2 linked regions of the Sus scrofa genome follow. The protein of the gene in region 1 purifies or fractionates together with the protein of each later gene. This does not show direct contact. Links are inferred from orthologs where the notes say so. Each region holds a gene or a part of one and is shown on either strand. Other genes may lie near its edges.

Region 1 (3,648 bases):
AAAATAAATTCCCGTTAGAGCCCACATTAACACACAGTGGCCTCTCCTGAAAGAAGTCTGTGGGGAGTTCTCTTACGGCTCAGCAGGTTAAGGATCCGACCTTGTCACTGCAGTGGTTTGGGTCACTGCTGTGGCGCGGGTTCGATCCCTGGCCTGGGAACTGTGGCCTGCCGTGGGTGCAGCCAAGGCGGGGAGAGTCTTCAGAACCCCAGGCACGTGTGGTGTGTGGGGCCCATGTGGCGGGGCCCTGTCCCCAGAACACCCATCGTACCCGCCTCAAGGTCTGGTGCCACCTGTTTGCACCTCCAGATGCCTGCCCACCCCGAACGCGGGCTGCACAACCTCTGCACAGACGTGGGGGGCTCACTTCCACTGTGGAGCCCAACACTTTCGAAGGCTCTGGAACTGCAGCTCAACCTTCTGAGGGCGCCCTTGGCTAAAAACCGCCTAGGGCCTTTATTAGGAAAAGGTGACGCTTCGAGAAGGGAATTTTAGTTCAGCGGGTGTCATGTGCGACTACAGCTGTGAACTGCTCGCCGACAGCGCGGGTGCTGCTCTCCGAGACGGAGCCGGGGAAGGATGTGGGCCTGGCTGTGCGGCAGGCCCAGCGGGGGGGAAGGGGGGGCCCTACCTGCATGCTGAGCACCGTCAGGTTGGTGAGCGCGTCGAGGTTCTGAAGTTTTGTGATCTTGTTTTTCCCCAAAAACAGACTCTCCAGGTTAGTTAACGTGTCGACATTTTCAATTGCCTGTGAAAGTCAGGACGGGGCACAGTGAGGCACCAGAGAAGGAAGGGCCCTGGGCGAGGGGACAGCGCTCCCTGGACCCCAGCCCTGGGTGTCGGCGAGGCACGCCCCACCCCGGCCGCGGAAGGTGCCCAGGGTCACCTGGCGTGAAGGGACAGCGTGAGGGAGAGAGGCCCGGGGCGGGGGGCGCCCTCCCCCTTGGGCTCCCTCACAGAGCTCAGGTTCCGGGGGACAGTCGGCGGGCCGCCCACGCCCCCCGGTTCTACAACTCTGAGCTGACACGTGTTTCGTTCCTCTACGCGGGGCTCCCTGAAACGGGCTCCCTTCTGCCGGCAGAGGCAGAGGCCCCCTCCCGGTGGAGCTGGCAGACGCAGGGCCGACAGTCCTGTGAGCCCCCAGGACGCCCCCCCAGGCCCATCCCAGCGGCTCCGAATCAGCGGGCAGACCACTCCATCTGCTTCTATGTCCCGGACCGTCTGCCCAGGCCTGGCAGCCCCACTCTGTCCAGTGTCCCCCTCAGAGGGCAGGCAGAGCCCGATCTAGACGCTGGGGCATCAGCTAGGGCTGCCCCGGGGCCTGACCCAGGGCGCACAGGGGTCCGAGTAGGACGGCCACCGTGTGCGAGCAGCCGGCTCCATCCTGCGGCCCTGGCGTGGGGCAGGGTCACGGCCGCCACCCCGGCTGTGCTTGGCACTCGGCTCTCAGAGGCTCAGCAGAAAACCAGGCGCGGCGCACGCAGAAGCAGAGCACGGGCCTTGGGCGGAGCGCGGCTGGGCGCTTTGCTGCGAGCTCTGTCCCGAGGCGGGTGGAGGGCGAGTGAAGTCCACGTGCAGAGGAAAGGCTGGACCCTGCACCGGCCGCTTTCTTATCAACACTGACCTCTGGGCGGCGCTTCTTCTCGTGAAAAACCCAGCCAAGCGCACCCCGCACCCACCCTGCCCAGGCAGGGCCGCCCTCGCGAAGGGACCGGCCGCCAGGGCGCTGCACCTACCCGGATGCGGTTGGATCCCAGCTCCAGCATCTGCAGTTGACGTAGGCTGCTTAGGTTCTCAATTTTATTTATCTTGTTGTTCACCAGGAAGAGTTTCTTCAACCGCGTCAACTTGTCGACCCCTTCGATGCTTCTCAGCAGATTGAAGGAAATATCAAGAATCCTGGGAACAGGCAAAAGGTTTCGCAGTGGGCACAGGCCCCGGACTCAGGTGGTAACCAACAGACTCTCGTGGCGGCCCAGGAAGGCAGGGGGAGCCGGGGGGCCTCCAGGGACCCCGATGCCTGCTGCCCGGGCTCACAGGACAGTGCTGAGGGAAAAACCATGTCATCCCAGCCGGAAGCCTCGACTCAAGCTGAGGCAGTGGAGAGCCGACGCATCCAGGGAGCGGAGGGCCAGGCAGGCCCCCGAGGCTGAGGGGGGCGCAGGGTATGCGGACCACCCCCCGCAGGGCCCTGGGCCCCTGACTCACTCCAGCTCCGTCAGCGCCTCCAGGTTCTCGATCTTCCGGATCTGGTTGTCGTAAAGGTCCAGCTCGCGAAGGCTCTGCAGCGCCTCCAGGTTCTCAATGCATTTAATTAAATTCTGACGAAGACAGAGAGTCTGGCGGGACAGAAAGGGACAGGTGACATAAGCAACAGGGAGGCCCGGAGACCAGGCCAGGGGGCCCGCCTTTCCTTCCCGTTTGGCGGGAAAGGTGCTGCTCTCGGAGAGGACGGGCAGACGCCGCCCGTGCTCGGAGGCAGCCCCACTCGGTGGGGAGGCGCTGCGGTTTCCCAGCAGAGAAGCCTCCGGGCGCCGAGTTTTGAAACACAGATTGAGTGCAAGAGCGTTAAGGACCAGCGCCTGGTGTGTGTGCTCAGCAGCAGGCAGGCCCCGACCTGAGGCACAGCAGGCGGCGGCAGCAGGTCTGAGTCCCCGCCTCCCGGACTGTTCCAGAAACCCTGCCACGCTCAGGACACGGGGTGCCCGCTGGCAGTGCCTGGGGCAGCCTGGCACCTTCACGAGGACGGTTGCTTGCGCAGAACCAGTTCTGTCCTGGTTTCCGCGGGGCCTTCGGGGGCCGTACTTTGGGGCGTCACAGGATCGCCTCCTGGGGAAGGAGGGGCTCCTCTCACCTTCACTTTCCGCAGCACCTCAAAGCCTTCGATCTTCCCAATGCGGTAGTGATTCAAATCCACATCCTGGAACAAAGAAAACCCGAGCTTGGCGGCCAGCAGGATGTGCTTCCTGGAGCAGGAGCCACAGGGGGGCTGGGGCAGGACTCGAGAGCCAGTGCCATACGGGGTCTGCGGTGGCCGGTGACAGGGACACGGGAGGGGCTGCAAGATGCTCTTGGGCTTCGCTATGCGCCACAGTGGCCTCGTGGGAACCGGCCCTCCACGCCAGGGGAGGTGAGCTGCCTCCCTGCCCGGGCTCTGAGGAGACGCCGCCCATCATGTCACCACTGGTGGCGGCTGCGGGCTGGGGAGGCAGGCTGGCTCCCCCCGCCCCGCCCCCGGACAGTCCATGCCCTGTGCTCTTCCGATGCTGGGGATGCAGGACCCCGCCAGGAACAGTGTCGTCATCGGACACCCATGAGTCACAGGTGCTTCAACTGCTCCCCGGCCCTCGAGGGTTAAATGGAAAGGTGAGGTCGACCACTGGAGGTCACACCAGTAAGAACCCAGGGAAGCTGACGCCACCGGGGGAGGCTCAGAGGGCTTCTAGGGACCTCACTTACTAATCTGGCACCTTTGCGAAAGACACCCTGACGGTCAGAGGGCTGTCACCATGCCCGGAGGCTGGGCTGAGCGGGTAGCATTACCTCTGCGTCTCGGTCCAGGTTAATGGTTTCCATATCCACAGGCGGCTCTTGTCCTTCTGAAAAAGTGAAAAGAAAAGAGGCCCATTCAGAGCCCTGGTCTCCAGG
Region 2 (3,648 bases), on another chromosome or scaffold:
AAATAGCTGATATTGATAATAATAATAAATGAGGTATTTGTATTTGTTTCCATATCACTATAAAGTTTGATTGAAAAAAAAAAGGTTCTAATAAAAAGGCAGTAGAAGGTAAAGGTCACTAAATGGACTTCCTTTTTGTGTCTGTGTAGGTACCAGCACACAAGTGGGATTCATTTTCACACTCTCTGAAACCCCAAACGGTTTTATCAAATTCGGTTTTTCCTGGCTTCCTGAAAAATGAAGAGAAATTGATCTGAATGCCTCTCTGTAAGTGACCTTGAAAACTTTTTTTAAAAATAAACAACACAGAGTTCCCATCATGGCACAGTGGTTAACGAATCCTACTAGGAACCATGAGGTTGCGGGTCGGATCCCTGGTCTTGCTCAGTGGGTTAAGGATCCAGTGTTGCTGTGAGCTGTGGTGTAAGTCACAGATGCAGCTCAGATCCCACCTTGCTGTGGCTCTGGCATAATCTACAGCTCTGATTAGACCCCTAGTCTGGGAACCTCCATATGCCGCGGGAGCAGCCCTAGAAAAGGCAAAAAGACAAAAATAAATAAATAAATAAAAATAAAAATAAATAAAAATAAAAATAAAATAAACGACACAGGCATTCATCCATAACAGAATGTGTGTGTGGTGGCAGGGTGTGTGTGTGTGCGTGTGTGTGTGCAATGTGTGCTATTCCATGTCTGTGTGTGTATATGCTTTAAACCTAACGTACAAGGAATTCCTCCTGATGGTCCCCAAAGGCCCTCTCAAACTACCTGGGACTCCTTGGGTCAGGAAGAAGAACTACATCTGAAAAATTAACTCACACTAAATAAGATTCGTATTACAACTTTTTTCCTCTTAGCAGTATCTGCATTTTAAAAGGGAACTGCCTCCTCGAAAAGATAACTCAAAGAAAAATCTCTTAAAGTCTAGGACATGCAGACACCATTGAGAGGCTGACACAGGACTTCTAGGCTGGTAGCAAAATCCTTTTGGTCTGTGACCAAAAGGGAATAGAAACCTTCCTTCATTCTCAAGTCCACCTCCCTGGGTGACTTTTTCCCGCAGCTTAAGGTCAGTCTGGTTTCAAATAAGAGATCTGCTTTTGGCCTCAGAACTCCACAGTAATTGTGGTCTGGGCATGTTTGTGTGTGTGTGTGTGTGTGTGTGAGAGAGAGAGAGAGAGAGAGAGAGAGAGAGAGAGAGAGAGAGAGAGAGAGAGAGAGAGACTTCAAGTTGATAAACTGCACTATTAGAATCTCAGTATCACCCAGGGTCCACCTGCCAGACTAGGCCTCGAGCCTGGCTTGCTTCTGGCTGGTGTGAAATGAGGAAACAAGCAAGGGGACATTCTACTTGCCAGCTCACAGGAGAGGCAAGCTCCGCTTACCTTTCTTTGGCCTGGGTTGCACTGGCAAGGACTCCTTTTTTTCCATTGCTTCTTCTCTTTCTTTCCATCGGCGGACCTGCTCCTCCCTCATCTTGAAGAACAGGATCTGTTTCTGTTCTTCGCTGAGCTCTGCCAGCAGATCAGGGTCTATGTACATCTTGGACAGTATCTGTTTCAGCATCTTTGCAGGGCTGGAGTCTTTTACACCCGTGGCAGAAGCCCTTGAAAACAGCTTCCTGGGCTGACTCGACCTGAGCTGGCACTTGGAGGCACCTGCAGACCTTCCCAGAGACTCAAGGGGCCTGGACAGTAATTCAGCAAACTGGCTCTGGGTTCGTGGCACCAAGCATCCTGTCCAAAATGCCGTGCATGAACCTGCAAAGAGAGATAGCCAAAATGCAGGTAGTGTTAAAAGGTAGAGATGCAGGTCAAGGACAGGCTTGGGAATAAAGCCTGGAGGAAATACAGTATTGCTTTTCATTTCAGGAGAAGGCTTAGGCAGGCTTTGTTTGTATAACCTGTATCTTGTAATTTCCAAAGATACTTTATCAAAAAAAAAATCATAACTTTTTACAGGTCAGTCTCAGGGAAACAAAAAAATTAACAGACGTTTGGCCTTCTCCCAACTGAGCAAACATACTATTACCTCAGAGCCCAACAAACCACCAAGTTCATGGCTAAGAACAGAGTTAAAGAGACAAAGGCACAGGAAGAAATTAAAAGGCTCTCTCCCAACAACTTATTTAAAAAGAAAATGCCATTTTTGAGATTTTGGAGAATGACCCACCCAAACCCAAACCAAGCCAGAGCTAGGCTTGAGAAAGGAAAAAGAATAAAAATTAGACCACAATGCAATTTCTCATTGTCTTTTAAAAGTAGCACTAAACAAACACCATTATGTACGTTCATCTTCACAAAAGGACAATGCAACATTCAGACAACTCGCTAGAATCAAGAGAACAGACCAGGTGCAGGAGAGAACATTCATGTACATTCTGGAAGGTCACCAGGTTTTAGGTGTACCTCTTCTTGATAACCTAATTTAGCCAGATTTAAATCTACAGACCAGATAAACTGGGGGAGTGACAAGGTGACTGGGTTCCTCACAAAGGGTCCTAGCTCTACAGTGAGTTTCTCAAAGGGTGGCGCCTTGGACCTGAACACACAGGGGTGTCAACTCCACTGCAATTTCATTCTACTTTATACATTTCTATTTGGTCTATTAAAAAAAAGCAAACCTTCATATTTTTGTCATCAGAAGGAAATAATGCATAGATTTCCATTCTGGGGAAAAAAAAGACCCTTATTTTGTTTCAATACAATGGGATACACACAAAAAAATTTACTTCTTGCAACTTTTCAGGATCGCCTATGGTATAAGAAATTGACTAATCTTTTTTTGCATACAATGCCTCCATAATCTCACCACGCCTTCTCAAATATCTTGTTTCTCCAAACTAAGTCCAAAGGCTCTTAAACTTCAGACCAGTCACTTAGCCACACCATGACTCCTCCCAGTTCCATCAACTGGTTATTCCCCAGCCAGACTGGGGTGCTCCTCCCACCCCCTGGGAGTTCCCTGCAGCTTCCTCTCCTCCTCCCCCTGCCTCCTCCTCTTTTCCTACCCTCCCCCTCCCCCTTTTCCCTCCCCTGCCCCTTCTCTCCCTCCTCCTTTCCCCCTTCCTTTCCTCCCTGTCCCCCTTGCAAAGCTGTTTCTCCACTTACACAACTCTTTTGAGACAAGTGTAATCACCAGCCAAAGTACCCAGAGTGGTGTGCATACACAGCCTGTGGTTAGATTCACTAACCAGTCATTGTGTAGCAGGGACCTTAGCTGAGGCTACTAGGATTCCTGCTAACTGCATCCTATTGGAGGCAGCATTCGAATACTGGATCTCAAACAGAACACAATATTAAGAGAAAATTTAAAGGATGAAAGGTGCTGTCTGACTTTAACTCAGTCAGGTATGGCCATCCCTCCCAAGCTATCTTGCTAGCTTTGTGTTTTGCTTTGAGGTGACCCACAAAGGCTATCACAGCCAGAGCTGATGTCCTGTGGTGGCTTCTTGACTTTGGGGTCTCACACCTTCTCCAGGGGTGGGATCAACTAAATCCACACTACGGAGAGGTTTCCAGAGGCCGAGCCCTGGTCTGTAGATGACAGAGCTGCAGGAAGAATGCAGTTCCTCTGCTCAGTTGACCGTGGTCCTCCCAGTTCAAGTGGTAAGAAACCAAAGTCAATGAGTCCTTGACATTCCGGTAA

The links. Proteins that work in one complex are often made in the same cells at the same time.
Region 2: the proteins of PPP1R7 (region 1) and SH2 domain-containing protein 4A-like purify together in Homo sapiens (affinity purification with mass spectrometry; 3 studies listed by BioGRID and IntAct, counting the BioPlex papers as one, with this or other methods). This does not show direct contact. The link is inferred for Sus scrofa from reciprocal best matches to the Homo sapiens genes PPP1R7 and SH2D4A.

What each region holds. Positions count from the first base shown.
Region 1 is NC_010457.5:139,924,376-139,928,023, reverse strand, and holds part of PPP1R7 (protein phosphatase 1 regulatory subunit 7), read right to left. Parts: intron 3,600-3,648; coding exon 3,544-3,599; intron 2,921-3,543; coding exon 2,855-2,920; intron 2,340-2,854; coding exon 2,209-2,339; intron 1,900-2,208; coding exon 1,737-1,899; intron 749-1,736; coding exon 632-748; intron 1-631. UniProt on the Homo sapiens protein: Regulatory subunit of protein phosphatase 1.
Region 2 is NW_018084867.1:63,644-67,291, forward strand, and holds part of SH2 domain-containing protein 4A-like, read right to left. Parts: intron 1,761-3,648; 5' UTR 1,567-1,760; coding exon 1,386-1,566; intron 1-1,385. UniProt on the Homo sapiens protein: Inhibits estrogen-induced cell proliferation by competing with PLCG for binding to ESR1, blocking the effect of estrogen on PLCG and repressing estrogen-induced proliferation. May play a role in T-cell development and function.